2 linked regions of the Xenopus tropicalis genome follow. The protein of the gene in region 2 purifies or fractionates together with the protein of the main gene of each other region. This does not show direct contact. Links are inferred from orthologs where the notes say so. Each region holds a gene or a part of one and is shown on either strand. Other genes may lie near its edges.

The links.
Region 1: the proteins of ube2o (region 2) and nap1l4 purify together in Homo sapiens (affinity purification with mass spectrometry; 3 studies listed by BioGRID, with this or other methods). This does not show direct contact. The link is inferred for Xenopus tropicalis from reciprocal best matches to the Homo sapiens genes UBE2O and NAP1L4.

Annotation. Positions count from the first base shown.
Region 1 is NC_030680.2:169,227-177,151, forward strand, and holds the start of nap1l4 (nucleosome assembly protein 1-like 4), read right to left. Parts: upstream 4,188-7,925; 5' UTR 4,164-4,187; intron 4,100-4,163; exon of another isoform or gene 4,081-4,099; intron 1-4,080. UniProt on the Homo sapiens protein: Acts as a histone chaperone in nucleosome assembly.
Region 2 is NC_030686.2:45,260,518-45,267,898, forward strand, and holds part of ube2o ((E3-independent) E2 ubiquitin-conjugating enzyme), read right to left. Parts: intron 6,316-7,381; coding exon 6,256-6,315; intron 6,178-6,255; coding exon 6,067-6,177; intron 5,841-6,066; coding exon 5,743-5,840; intron 5,549-5,742; coding exon 5,485-5,548; intron 5,387-5,484; coding exon 5,243-5,386; intron 4,215-5,242; coding exon 4,105-4,214; intron 3,995-4,104; coding exon 3,844-3,994; intron 3,724-3,843; coding exon 3,242-3,723; intron 3,135-3,241; coding exon 2,980-3,134; intron 2,286-2,979; coding exon 2,173-2,285; intron 1,908-2,172; coding exon 1,779-1,907; intron 1,695-1,778; coding exon 1,605-1,694; intron 1,357-1,604; coding exon 666-1,356; intron 578-665; coding exon 441-577; intron 1-440. UniProt on the Homo sapiens protein: E2/E3 hybrid ubiquitin-protein ligase that displays both E2 and E3 ligase activities and mediates monoubiquitination of target proteins. Negatively regulates TRAF6-mediated NF-kappa-B activation independently of its E2 activity.

The DNA of each region.
Region 1 (7,925 bases), on a different chromosome or scaffold from region 2:
GCAGGGGGGCTGTACCCACATATATCCCCAGGCAGGGGGGCTGTTACCCACATATATCCCCAGGCAGGGGCTGTACCCCACATATATCCCCAGGCAGGGGGCTGTACCCACATATATCCCCAGGCAGGGGGCTGTACCCCACATATATCCCCAGGCAGGGGGCTGTACCCCACATATATCCCCAGGCAGGGGGGCTGTACCCCACATATATCCCCAGGCAGGGGGGCTGTACCCCACATATATCCCCAGGCAGGGGGCTGTACCCCCACATATATCCCCAGGCAGGGGGGCTGTACCCCACATATATCCCCAGGCAGGGGGCTGTACCCCACATATATCCCCAGGCAGGGGGCTGTACCCACATATATCCCCAGGCAGGGGGCTGTACCCACATATATCCCCAGGCAGGGGGCTGTACCCACATATCCCCAGGCAGGGGGGCTGTACCCACATATATCCCCAGGCAGGGGGGCTGTACCCACATATATCCCCAGGCAGGGGGGCTGTACCCACATATATCCCCAGGCAGGGGGGCTGTACCCACATATATCCCCAGGCAGGGGGGCTGTACCCACATATATCCCCAGGCAGGGGGGCTGTACCCACATATATCCCCAGGCAGGGGGCTGTACCCCACATATATCCCCAGGCAGGGGGCTGTACCCCACATATATCCCCAGGCAGGGGGCTGTACCCCACATATATCCCCAGGCAGGGGGCTGTACCCACATATATCCCCAGGCAGGGGGGCTGTACCCCACATATATCCCCAGGCAGGGGACTGTACCCACATATATCCCCAGGCAGGGGGGCTGTACCCACATATATCCCAGGCAGGGGGCTGTACCCACATATATCCCCAGGCAGGGGACTGTACCCACATATATCCCCAGGCAGGGGGGCTGTACCCACATATATCCCCAGGCAGGGGGCTGTACCCCACATATATCCCCAGGCAGGGGGGCTGTACCCACATATATCCCAGGCAGGGGGGCTGTACCCCACATATATCCCCAGGCAGGGGGGCTGTACCCCACATATATCCCCAGGCAGGGGGGCTGTACCCACATATATCCCCAGGCAGGGGGGCTGTACCCACATATATCCCCAGGCAGGGGCTGTACCCACATATATCCCCAGGCAGGGGGGCTGTACCCCACATATATCCCCAGGCAGGGGGGCTGTACCCACATATATCCCCAGGCAGGGGGCTGTACCCACATATATCCCCAGGCAGGGGCTGTACCCACATATATCCCCAGGCAGGGGGCTGTACCCCACATATATCCCCAGGCAGGGGGCTGTACCCCACATATATCCCAGGCAGGGGGGCTGTACCCACATATATCCCCAGGCAGGGGGCTGTACCCCACATATATCCCCAGGCAGGGGGCTGTACCCCACATATATCCCCAGGCAGGGGGCTGTACCCACATATATCCCCAGGCAGGGGGGCTGTACCCACATATATCCCCAGGCAGGGGGCTGTACCCACATATATCCCCAGGCAGGGGGCTGTACCCCACATATATCCCCAGGCAGGGGGGCTGTACCCACATATATCCCCAGGCAGGGGGGCTGTACCCACATATATCCCCGGCAGGGGGCCATATATCCCAGGCAGGGGGCTGTACCCACATATATCCCCAGGCAGGGGGCTGTACCCCACATATATCCCAGGCAGGGGGCTGTACCCACATATATCCCCAGGCAGGGGGCTGTACCCACATATATCCCCAGGCAGGGGGCTGTACCCACATATATCCCCAGGCAGGGGGCTGTACCCACATATATCCCCAGGCAGGGGGCTGTACCCCACATATATCCCCAGGCAGGGGGCTGTACCCCACATATATCCCCAGGCAGGGGGGCTGTACCCACATATATCCCCAGGCAGGGGGCTGTACCCACATATATCCCCAGGCAGGGGGCTGTACCCACATATATCCCCAGGCAGGGGGGCTGTACCCACATATATCCCCAGGCAGGGGGCGTACCCACATATATTCCCCAGGCAGGGGCTGTACCCACATATATCCCCAGGCAGGGGGGCTGTACCCACATATATCCCCAGGCAGGGGGCTGTACCCACATATATCCCAGGCAGGGGGGGCTGTACCCACATATATCCCCAGGCAGGGGGGCTGTACCCACATATATCCCCAGGCAGGGGGGCTGTACCCCACATATATCCCCAGGCAGGGGGGCTGTACCCACATATATCCCCAGGCAGGGGGGCTGTACCCACATATATCCCAGGCAGGGGGGCTGTACCCACATATATCCCCAGGCAGGGGGCTGTACCCACATATATCCCCAGGCAGGGGGGCTGTACCCACATATATCCCCAGGCAGGGGGGCTGTACCCCACATATATCCCCAGGCAGGGGGCTGTACCCACATATATCCCCAGGCAGGGGGGCTGTACCCACATATATCCCCAGGCAGGGGGGCTGTACCCACATATATCCCCAGGCAGGGGGGCTGTACCCACATATATCCCCAGGCAGGGGGGCTGTACCCACATATATCCCCAGGCAGGGGGGCTGTACCCACATATATCCCCAGGCAGGGGGGCTGTACCCACATATATCCCCAGGCAGGGGGCTGTACCCACATATATCCCCAGGCAGGGGGCTGTACCCACATATATCCCCAGGCAGGGGGGCTGTACCCACATAATATTCCCCAGGCAGGGGGCTGTAACCCACATATATCCCCAGGCAGGGGGGCTGTACCCCACATATATCCCCAGGCAGGGGGCTGTACCCCACATATATCCCCAGGCAGGGGGCTGTACCCACATATATCCCCAGGCAGGGGGGCTGTACCCACATATATCCCCAGGCAGGGGGGCTGTACCCACATATATCCCAGGCAGGGGGCTGTACCCACATATATCCCCAGGCAGGGGGCTGTACCCACATATATCCCCAGGCAGGGGGGCTGTACCCACATATATCCCAGGCAGGGGGGCTGTACCCACATATATCCCCAGGCAGGGGGGCTGTACCCACATATATCCCCAGGCAGGGGGGCTGTACCCACATATATCCCCAGGCAGGGGGGCTGTACCCACATATATCCCCAGGCAGGGGGGCTGTACCCACATATCCCAGGGGCTTACCCATTATCCCAGGCAGGGGGCTGTACCCACATATATCCCCAGGCAGGGGGGCTGTACCCACATATATCCCCAGGCAGGGGGGCTGTACCCACATATATCCCCAGGCAGGGGGGCTGTACCCACATATATCCCAGGCAGGGGGGCTGTACCCACATATATCCCCAGGCAGGGGGCTGTACCCACATATATCCCCAGGCAGGGGGCGTACCCCACATATCCCCGGCAGGGGCTGTACCCCACATATATCCCCAGGCAGGGGGGCTGTACCCACATATATCCCCCAGGCAGGGGGGCTGTACCCACATATATCCCCAGGCAGGGGGGCTGTACCCCACATATATCCCCAGGCAGGGGGCTGTACCCCACATATATCCCCAGGCAGGGGGCTGTACCCACATATATCCCCAGGCAGGGGGGCTGTACCCCACATATATCCCCAGGGCAGGGGGGCTGTACCCACATATATCCCCAGGCAGGGGGGCTGTACCCACATATATCCCAGGCAGGGGGCTGTACCCACATATATCCCCAGGCAGGGGGGCTGTACCCACATATATCCCCAGGCAGGGGGCTGTACCCCACATATATCCCCAGGCAGGGGGGCTGTACCCACATATATCCCCAGGCAGGGGGCTGTACCCACATATATCCCCAGGCAGGGGGCTGTACCCACATATATCCCCAGGCAGGGGGCTGTACCCACATATATCCCCAGGCAGGGGGGCTGTACCCACATATATCCCCAGGCAGGGGGCTGTACCCACATATATCCCCAGGCAGGGGGCTGTACCCACATATATCCCCAGGCAGGGGGGCTGTACCCACATATATCCCCAGGCAGGGGGGCTGTACCCACATATATCCCCAGGCAGGGGGCTGTACCCACATATGTAGGGGACAGGGCAGGACACATGTTGGGGAGTTACAGTTACAGGACACAGTAATGTCGGTACCAGGGGGGAAAGAGACGCCCAACAAGCCCCGCTGTTACAGGCCACTCCCCCCGCTCCTCACACGGTCCCGGGCAGATACTCACACGTCCCGCACAATAAGTACAAACTCCTCCCCTCTGTCTGACAGAAACAACTCCCGTTACCTATATAATCTCGCGAGACTATGGCGTCACGGCTCACGTATGCGTCCTGACGCACGGGCAGGCACATTCCGTCCCAACGTAAGCGTAATGACGCACCACATAGGAGCATTGCGGTTCCACGTAAGCGTAATGACGCATCACATAAGCGCATTGCGGTGCGTCATAACGTAAGCGTAAAGACGCACCGGAATGCTCCACGTAAGCGCAATGACGCAACACGTCGCCGCATTACTGGCGTGACGACGAGCAGAGATGACGTAGTGGCGTCGGTCAGTGTTATCCAATAGGAGTGAGCGGTTTCCCTATCGCTAGGGGACAAGCAGCCATTAGTTCCCCTCAGTATTTCCCCATTGTGTGTGCAGTACTGTGCGTTATGGGGGGCTGTTCCCCAGTGTGAGGCAGAGAGTAACATTCTGTGCAGTTGGTCTTCCTTTATTATTTGTGTTTTTATATTTATATCAGTTTCCGTTCTTTTATTATTTGCTGGCCTATCCCAGTCTCACACCCTCAGTCCCCATACTGATATAAGCCTGGCAGGAAACGCTTGGGGGCCACAGTGCGTCTGGCAGGAAACGCTTGGGGGCCACAGTGCGTCTGGCAGGAAACGCTTGGGAGCCACGGTGCGTCTGGCAGGAAACGCTTGGGGGCCACAGTGCGTCTGGCAGGAACGCTTGGGAGCCACAGTGCGCCTGGCAGGAAACGCTTGGGAGCCACGGTGCGCCTGGCAGGAAACGCTTGGGGGCCACGGTGCGTCTGGCAGGAAACGCTTGGGGGCCACAGTGCGTCTGGCAGGAAACGCTTGGGGGCCACAGTGCGTCTGGCAGGAAACGCTTGGGGGCCACAGTGCGTCTGGCAGGAAACGCTTGGGGGCCACAGTGCGTCTGGCAGGAAACGCTTGGGGGCCACGGTGCGTCTGGCAGGAAACGCTTGGGAGCCACAGTGCGTCTGGCAGGAAACGCTTGGGAGCCACGGTGCGTCTGGCAGGAAACGCTTGGGGCCACAGTGCGTCTGGCAGGAAACGCTTGGGAGCCACAGTGCGTCTGGCAGGAAACGCTTGGGAGCCACAGTGCGTCTGGCAGGAACGCTTGGGGGCCACAGTGCGTCTGGCAGGAAACGCTTGGGGGCCACGGTGCGTCTGGCAGGAAACGCTTGGGGGCCACGGTGCGTCTGGCAGGAAACGCTTGGGAGCCACAGTGCGTCTGGCAGGAAACGCTTGGGGGCCACAGTGCGTCTGGCAGGAAACGCTTGGGGGCCACAGTGCGTCTGGCAGGAAACGCTTGGGGGCCACGGTGCGTCTGGCAGGAAACGCTTGGGAGCCGCGGTGCGTCTGGCAGGAAACGCTTGGGGGCCACAGTGCGCCTGGCAGGAAACGCTTGGGGGCCACGGTGCGTCTGGCAGGAACGCTTGGGAGCCACGGTGCGTCTGGCAGGAAACGCTTGGGAGCCACAGTGCGTCTGGCAGGAAACGCTTGGGAGCCACGGTGCGTCTGGCAGGAACGCTTGGGAGCCACGGTGCGTCTGGCAGGAAACGCTTGGGAGCCACAGTGCGTCTGGCAGGAAACGCTTGGGGGCCACGGTGCGCCTGGCAGGAAACGCTTGGGGGCCACGGTGCGCCTGGCAGGAAACGCTTGGGGGCCACGGTGCGCCTGGCAGGAAACGCTTGGGGGCCACGGTGCGTCTGGCAGGAAACGCTTGGGAGCCACGGTGCGTCTGGCAGGAAACGCTTGGGGGCCACGGTGCGTCTGGCAGGAAACGCTTGGGGGCCACGGTGCGTCTGGCAGGAAACGCTTGGGAGCCACGGTGCGCCTGGCAGGAAACGCTTGGGGGCCACGGTGCGTCTGGCAGGAAACGCTTGGGAGCCACGGTGCGTCTGGCAGGAAACGCTTGGGGGCCACGGTGCGTCTGGCAGGAAACGCTTGGGAGCCACGGTGCGCCTGGCAGGAAACGCTTGGGGGCCACGGGTGCGTCTGGCAGGAAACGCTTGGGGGCCACGGTGCGTCTGGCAGGAAACGCTTGGGGGCCACGGTGCGTCTGGCAGGAAACGCTTGGGGGCCACGGTGCGTCTGGCAGGAAACGCTTGGGAGCCACGGTGCGTCCTGGCAGGAAACGCTTGGGGGCCACGGTGCGTCTGGCAGGAAACGCTTGGGAGCCACGGTGCGTCTGGCAGGAAACGCTTGGGAGCCACGGTGCGCCTGGCAGGAAACGCTTGGGGGCCACGGTGCGTCTGGCAGGAAACGCTTGGGGGCCACGGTGCGTCTGGCAGGAAACGCTTGGGGGCCACGGTGCGTCTGGCAGGAAACGCTTGGGGGCCACGGTGCGTCTGGCAGGAAACGCTTGGGAGCCGCGGTGCGTCTGGCAGGAAACGCTTGGGAGCCACAGTGCGCCTGGCAGGAAACGCTTGGGGGCCACGGTGCGTCTGGCAGGAAACGCTTGGGAGCCACGGTGTGTCTGGCAGGAAACGCTTGGGGGCCACGGCGTGCCTGGCAGGAAACGCTTGGGAGCCACGGTGCGTCTGGCAGGAAACGCTTGGGAGCCACGGTGCGTCTGGCAGGAAACGCTTGGGAGCCACGGTGCGTCTGGCAGGAAACGCTTGGGGGCCACGGTGCGTCTGGCAGGAAACGCTTGGGAGCCACGGTGCGTCTGGCAGGAAACGCTTGGGAGCCACGGTGCGCTTGGGGGCCACAGTGTGTCTGGCAGGAAACGCTTGGGAGCCACGGTGCGTCTGGCAGGAAACGCTTGGGGGCCACGGTGCGTCTGGCAGGAAACGCTTGGGGGCCACAGTGTGTCTGGCAGGAAACGCTTGGGAGCCACGGTGCGCTTGGGGGCCACAGTGTGTCTGGCAGGAAACGCTTGGGAGCCACGGTGCGCCTGGCAGGAAACGCTTGGGAGCCACGGTGCGTCTGGCAGGAACGCTTGGGGGCCACGGTGCGTCTGGCAGGAAACGCTTGGGAGCCACGGTGCGTCTGGCAGGAAACGCTTGGGAGCCACAGTGCGTCTGGCAGGAAACGCTTGGGGGCCACAGTGCGTCTGGCAGGAAACGCTTGGGGGCCACGGTGCGTCTGGCAGGAAACGCTTGGGGGCCACAGTGTGTCTGGCAGGAAACGCTTGGGAGCCACGGTGCGCTTGGGGGCCACAGTGTGTCTGGCAGGAAACGCTTGGGAGCCACGGTGCGCCTGGCAGGAAACGCTTGGGAGCCACGGTGCGTCTGGCAGGAACGCTTGGGGGCCACGGTGGCGTCTGGCAGGAAACGCTTGGGAGCCACGGTGCGTCTGGCAGGAACGCTTGGGGGCCACGGTGCGTCTGGCAGGAAACGCTTGGGGGCCACGGTGCGTCTGGCAGGAAACGCTTGGGGGCCACGGTGCGTCTGGCAGGAAACGCTTGGGGGCCACGGTGCGTCTGGCAGGAACGCTTGGGGGCCACGGTGCGTCTGGCAGGAAACGCTTGGGGGCCACAGTGCGTCTGGCAGGAAACGCTTGGGGGCCACAGTGCGTCTGGCAGGAAACGCTTGGGGGCCACAGTGCGTCTGGCAGGAAACGCTTGGGAGCCACAGTGCGTCTGGCAGGAAACGCTTGGGGGCCACGGTGCGTCTGGCAGGAAACGCTTGGGGGCCACAGTGCGTCTGGCAGGAAACGCTTGGGAGCCACGGTGCGTCTGGCAGAAACGCTTGGGGGCCACAGTGCGTCTGGCAGGAAACGCTTGGGAG
Region 2 (7,381 bases):
ATGGAGATCCAAATTACAGAAAGACCCCTTATCCGTCAAACCCTTGGTCCCGAGCATTCTGGATAATGGGTCCTATACCTGTATATATGTTCCTTTCCTTATTGACATCACGTGTGCAGGGGATTGTGGGATTGGGAGGATACAGGCTGAGGGACAGGCAACTACGGTTACATTTTATTTGAGTCACAAAGTAGTCGGCCAGACCAGCAGGGAACAGGGGGCGGGGCTTAGGGAACAGGGGGTGGGGCTTAGGGAACTGTTCCAACCAGATTATTACATTAAGTCATGAAATGTTGAATATGTTTGTAACTGATGTATATTGTGAAGTTGCTTGACATTATGTTTACTTTTCAAAAAGCGTAAGTTGTGTTTGGGTGGAGTTCCCCTTTAGTTACAGGTTTTTTTGGCTCCCACTCTCGGGCAAACAAATTGGTATTTACCATTCGGTCTTCAAAGGTCTTCACCATGATGCCGTCCGGGAGGGAAGTCGCCAGCAGAGCCATCTCTTTACGCACGGTGCTGAAGAACTTCTTGGCTTCCGGGGCTTGGAACTCCAGCTTCTTAAAGGCTTGGCTCTCTAAGGGGGGAGGAAGCACGGGATTGTGGGTAAGCACTGGCACAGGAAGTGATCCAGGAGGGGGAAGATACTAAGCGATGATACATACCGGGGGCAGTTTCAAGCACAGAGAAGACCTCCCCTTTGGCGCTGGTGAAGATGACGCCGGGTTTGCCGCCGCTCTGCTGGCACAACACGGGCGTGTCACTCGGCCATTCTGACCGGACGGGCGTCTGCGCTTCAGCTTTCTCCTCCTTCTCAGTCTCGGGCGCCGACTCCATCTTTTCCTCCTCAGCTATGGCCACATTGTCCAGGGTTTTCTTGAGGTTCTCCTGCAGCTTCTTTATATCATCCAGGAACTTCTTCTCCCGAGTGAACTTCTCCGGCTCGGCTGTGGGGGAGGTTGGGGAGCCGGTGAGCAGCTGTTCTACCGTCATGTTCTTCAGGCTCTCCAGGATCTTAATGGCCTCCTTCAGCTCCTTAAAGCTCTTCACAATCCCTTCTTTCTCATTCACTTTCACGCCGAGAACTCCCAGATCCGCGGCCGCAGCCAATGCAGCGCTCTGTTCCGCCTCGTCTTGCGCCGGTTCCTGCATCGGCTCTGCGGGGGCGGTCTCATTCTGTGAAGCCGCCGCCTCCTCCCCCCCCGCCGCCCGAGGGATTTCATCTTCCGTCAGCCCGTTGTCCGTTTCCCAGCTGTCGCTCTCATCCTCCCATTCATCAGACGAGGCGCCGCTGGAGCTGCTGTCCACGGAGTCATAAAAGGATTCCTCCAGTTCGGATTCCACGTTATACAGATGCTGGGGAGTCAAAAGGAAACAATTTGTAGGTGCAGCAGTCTCCAGAACAGAGAATGCGGCCTGTAACCCACAGGACCCAGTATCCACAGGACCCAATATCCACAGGGCGAGTATGAGTTCTTCCTTCCACCCTCCTTCCCCACTTCCTCTACCATCAGCCCCTATCAGTGGGTGTGTGCCTGCTACACCCCTCCCCCTTTGTGACATCAGAGATGGGGTGGGCCCCAATATTTATACAACACACTTACCTGTGGGAGGACAATAGTCCGGGAATTATCAGCCCAGATCACTTCGACTTTGCTGCTCACGTCCACCCGAGCCACCTGCCCCACCGACGGCTGCAAAACAGGGAAAGGGGGTTTAATCACCTTAAATAAATGTAACAGCCACCGGTAACGGCATCTGGAATAAAAAGTTCCCACCTGGCTGGCATCAGGAAAGGCTTCTGGATCAGAGTTGCCAATGCGGATCACTATGTCTGTGGCTCGGAATCGGAAATCTGGATGGTCAACAATGTCATACACACTGACATCCTCCTCTTCCCCAACAAGCTGAGAAACAGTAAGAGACATGTTTGTGTGTATGGCTGAAGCAGAGCATGATGGGGCACACAGTATCACCCGGCTAACAGTCTTGCACCCCTGCCCAACATGGCGGGCCCAGCACAGCCCAGAGAAGCAGGACGGCCACTAATCAGTAAATCGACAAAAACCTTTGAACACAAAGAAATAACAGAACCCCGTGCCGTACGGTCCATAAAATATAGTTCTGGCTCAGGGAAGGGACATGTCGGGTCACAGCGATTCCGTAACTCACCTCCGTATCGTCCCCATTCAAATTCAGCTTGATCCATTTTACCACACAAGTACGGCCCGTGTGATCCCCAGACTGCACCACTCCGTATATACTGGGGTCCTGGGCAGCGTGGGCTGTTGGGGGAGAGAGAAGGAAAAGGCTATTTCAGATGAACCGGAGAGCGTCATTCTGTAAATCTGTTTGTCTTAAACCCACATATTTACTGTTATTTGCCCCTCACTCTCCCCACTCATCTGCCCCTCACTCCGTCTCTGCCCCTCACTCCGTCTCTGCCCCTCACTCCGTCTCTGCCCCTCACTCCGTCTCTGCCCCTCACTCCGTCTCTGCCCCTCACTCCGTCTCTGCCCCCCCTCACTCTGTCCCATTCATCTGCCTGTATGCCCCCTGCTCTGTCTCTGCCCCACTCATCTGCCCATATGCCCCCTGCTCTGTCTCTGCCCCACTCATCTGCCCGTATGCCCCCTGCTCTGTCTCTGCCCCACTCATCTGCCCGTATGCCCCCTGCTCTGTCTCTGCCCCATTCATCTGCCCGTATGCCCCCTGCTCTGTCTCTGCCCCACTCATCTGCCCATATGCCCCTCGCTCTGTCTCTGCCCCACTCATCTGCCCATATGCCCCCTGCTCTGTCTCTGCCCCACTCATCTGCCCATATGCCCCCTCGCTCTGTCTCTGCCCCACTCATCTGCGCGTATGCCCCTGCTCTGTCTCTGCCCCACTCATCTGCCCATATGCCCCCTGCTCTGTCTCTGCCCCACTCATCTGCCCGTATGCCCCTTGCTCTGTCTCTGTGCATCTAACATTACTGACCTCTCTTGTCGACTACAAAGTCCCCGGGGCAGAACTCGTTGTTATCCAGATGCTGGATCGGTACCAGTTCATTAGAGCGGATGTTGGTCTCAACGCTCCCATCTTGCCACATAACGTCAGCCGTGGTCACAGTGGTTATAACCTCGACAGCCACCCTGCAGGGACAGCCATAGATGACAATGTAAAACGACCAGAGGGGGCGCTGCAGCTACATAGCTGCCCTTTGCTTGGCACTCTGGGAGGGTCCATTACTAATACCAACCTGTCGCCATGTTTGAACTCTCTGTATACTTTGCTCTTTTTCTTCTTCTTATGTTTCCTCTTGAGGTTCCGGATGGACAGGGGGATGCTCTTCTTGCGCCCAGCGCCGCTGCCACTTTGGGAAGAAGCCGTAGAACTGGCCGAGGAAGTCACCGAGCTGGTCTCGTCGGTATCCCCTGCGGCTTCATCGTCGGCGTCCTGTTCCGAGGAATGCAGCTGGAGGCCCTGGAATATTTCCCGGAAGGTGCCCAAAGGCTGCTCTTTGGTTGGGCACTCCGGAACGTTCGGTTCCTCGGGGGGTTCCCCTTCCAGCTTGGCAGAGACAAGATCTTCCTCGGTTGCCCTTGCTGTGGGTATTTCATACGACGGGGGCACTGTGGAGTTTTTTTTGAGGAGTTCAGTAGGGTTGGAGGGATCCTGGGTACATGAGATTATCTTGACTATCTGCTTCTCCCGTAGCTTTTCCACCTGCTGTGTATGGACCAATGGTGAGACAGAAAATCAGGTGTTACATCTCCTACCATGATAAACAACCCCCCCATGCCAGTGCCAGCTAATACCCTTTGCTTGGGCCGCTACCTCTGCAGCCTTCAGTGGCCCTACCTTCCTGGTGACGGTGACCTCCCCCAGCAGGCAGTTCTTCTCGAGACTTTCACACAGAATTTTGGTGGGTTCCACCTTAGTGGGGAAGATGTACAGACAGCGCTCTCCCAGCTGCCTCTGCGTGTGGTCGAAGGAGCCCAGTCGTTTCACTCTGAGGGGAAACAGAACAGCAGCTCATGGAGTTGCCCATATCGCCCTCTAGTGGAGGAACAGTTTGGGTGCACTGGAAACTCCCACCCCATTGGCTCAGGTTGGACTCACCTAGACAGGTTCTCCTGAGTAATCACAGCGGGTGGGGGGTCCATGGAATCGGTGCCGCCGAGACAAAAGCTTTTTGTGATCCAAGTAACTCGTAATTCAGTGACTTGCACCTGTAACGCGGGGGGGAGAATGAACGCACACGCGTGTTACACGCACATATACGTAAGCATCACACACTGAGCAGGAAACGGGCGCTCTACCAGGAGATTAACCGGCTACAAGCACCAGAAATAAACTATAAGGGGTGGGAGACGTTTCCCTGAAGCACCGGGTGCCGCCTGCATGGGCGGTCCCGACCTTCGACCTTCCGTGTCGCCACTAAATCATTACTTATTCATGAGCTAAAGTAATTATTCATGAGTGCACTACAGGGTCCAGCACGGCAAGCGCCACGGCTCCACACTAGGGTAGGGCACCCCCTTGGGGTATCTTGGAGCAGGTGGGGGGGTAATTAGCCGGATGGCCTGGTGAGGTTGGAATTGGGATAGCTAGGGTACACACTGCCCCCCCCCCCCCATACCGTATATGAGAGCTTCCTATACAGTATGGGGGGAAAGGACTTCAGGTGGAAACTCATGAGTGGGGCACAATGGGCACAATGAAATGGCAACAGAAGTCACCAAGAGTAAAGGTCCCCATCCATGGGCCGATTCTAGCTGCCGATATTGGCCCCTTAGACAGATTCGGCAGCTAATCGGCCCGTGTATGGGCACTACCGACGGCATGCCCGACCCATATCTAACCTGAAATTGGCCAGATCTTGATCGGGCAGGTTAGAAAATCTAGTCGGATCGGGGACCACATTGGCTCGTTGATACCATCCCCGGACCGACTTTGCCTATACCTGCCGTAATAATTCAATTGTTTGGCCCCAATTACCCTAAATTCCCCCCATATTGCCCACCCGTAGGTGGGGATATCGGGAGAAGATCCGCTCACTTGGCGACATCGCCAAACGAGCGGATCTTATGGTGTATGGGGACCTTAAGAAAGCCCCAAGACTATAAGGATCGGCTCGCTCTGGTTTCATGGCTCCGGGCTGTACGGGCTCCGATCCTACACCAGATACAAACCCACCCCCAGTGGCACCCGTTTTGGTTACCCCAGAACTGCAGCGAAGGAGAGAGTGGAACTTTACCTCTTCCACCCCCACGCGAAACTTGCTCTTGGCACTCAGTACCGGCTTGACCCCAGAGAGCCACTGCACGCTGGAGAACACCTTGGAGGGGCCGATCAGTACTTGCCCAGGGTAAAAGCCATAGGAGTCATCAAAGAACAGCCCCTAAAGGTACAACATAGAGATGTGAATTGGTCAGTTTGGAGCCGTTGGCCCCGCCTCCTAGCGATACCGGAGGAACAGGAAGTAAATGAGAGAGTTACCGAGTCGCTGGCGTGGGGGCAGACGTCGTACAGTTTGGACGCATCCTCGGTGCTCATGGAACATCTGCAGCAAGCGGGGGAGGAAAAGGAAGATCCCTGAGAAACCCAGTTCAGTCCGACCCAATCTCATTCCCCCTCTCTACACACAGCACCCATTAAGCACCCATTAAGCACCCATAGCGCTTATTCCCTAATACCCCCAACGAAGTGCCCTTATAACATCTGCTCTGCAGAATGGGCCGAGGGTTCTGCCGATACCTGGCGCCGTTGGACAGCTTGAGGACAACCTGGTTCTTCAGATCATACACTTTGCCCAGCCAGCAGTCGTAGGCAATGTAATCCCCGTACATGATAGGCTGGAGAGGCAACAGGAGAGGAGCCAATCACAAAGATGCAAGAGAATGAATAGAAGACACAGAACATTACAGTCGGGGGTCTATAGAGATTGGACCCTCAATGGAACCACATGACCCAGAGCCATTACTATAAAGGAAGACCCTGTGACTGCCAGGGGCCCTGTGGGGTTCTAAATGATTTCACTGCGGGGCCCGGTAACCGGCAGTTGCCAAGGCGACATCTCACCCAGATGTGGTGCAGCTCCTTACTGTTGACCGGATGCAGGAAGCAGTTGGTCCCCACCACTTTCACCACGCAGTCTATGTTCACGTCGATCACCGTGCCGCACTGGCTGTCCTGGGGGGGCACAACGGGACGGGGGTCAGCGAGGGAGCGATACGGAGCACCGACAGTGCAGCTCATACGGCCACTTACCTTTGTACCCATCCGACGCACAACATCCCTGGGCACCAGCGAGCGGTCCTCCAGCTTTAACTGCAACACAAGGAAAGGCAATGGCATTACACTGGCACAGAATGGGCACTGCATGTACATACGGGCGGGAGGTGCCATATTGCTTTCCCAGGGCACCAATGGGATAGTTCCCCTTTGTAATTGTAACGTTACAGTAAGGTGCAGCTGCTCCACAGATTCTCTCAGCAACAAACTTCTATTTCTTCATAGAGACCAAGGTATTATACTTACTGCCATGGTCTTATAGTGAGGGAAACACTATGGCACCTCCTACCCATATGTATAAATACAAATATACAGAGAAGGAATGTTCTGGGCACACAATAAGCTGTACCCTCATACTGTACTGTCTAAGGGAAACACTATGGCACCTCCCTCCCATATGTATAAATACAAATATACAGAGAAGGAATGTTCTGGGCACACAATAAGCTGTACCCCCATACTGTACTGTCTAAGGGAAACACTATGGCACCTCCTACCCATATGTATAAATACAAATATACAGAGAAGGAATGTTCTGGGCACACAATAAGCTGTACCCCCATACTGTACTGTCTAAGGGAAACACTATGGCACCCCCTACCCATATGTATAAATACAAATATACAGAGAAGGAATGTTCTGGGCACACAATAAGCTGTACCCCCATACTGTACTGTCTAAGGGAAACACTATGGCACCCCCTACCCATATGTATAAATACAAATATACAGAGAAGGAATGTTCTGGGCACACAATAAGCTGTACCCCCAAACTGTACTATCGAATGGTAACAATATGGCAGCTCCGAGCACTTATTGTAATGTCCTGGGCATGGCAGTTACCTGCTGTATCTCTCCTGGGGGTATGTGGGGTTAGTAAATATTCACATACAGACAGTGGCTGCTGATTTGGCCTCGACTAACAGAATGGGCAGATATACCATAGGTTTGGGCCCAAAATCATCAGTTACCCCGACCCATCTGATTGGGGCTTATTCAGGTGGCCCCAAGTGGAGAATCTGGTTGGTTAGTGTTGCTGTGTATGGGGACATAGATACAAGGGGCATTATCTGACTGTTGCCCTGGATCTGATGGAACAGCTC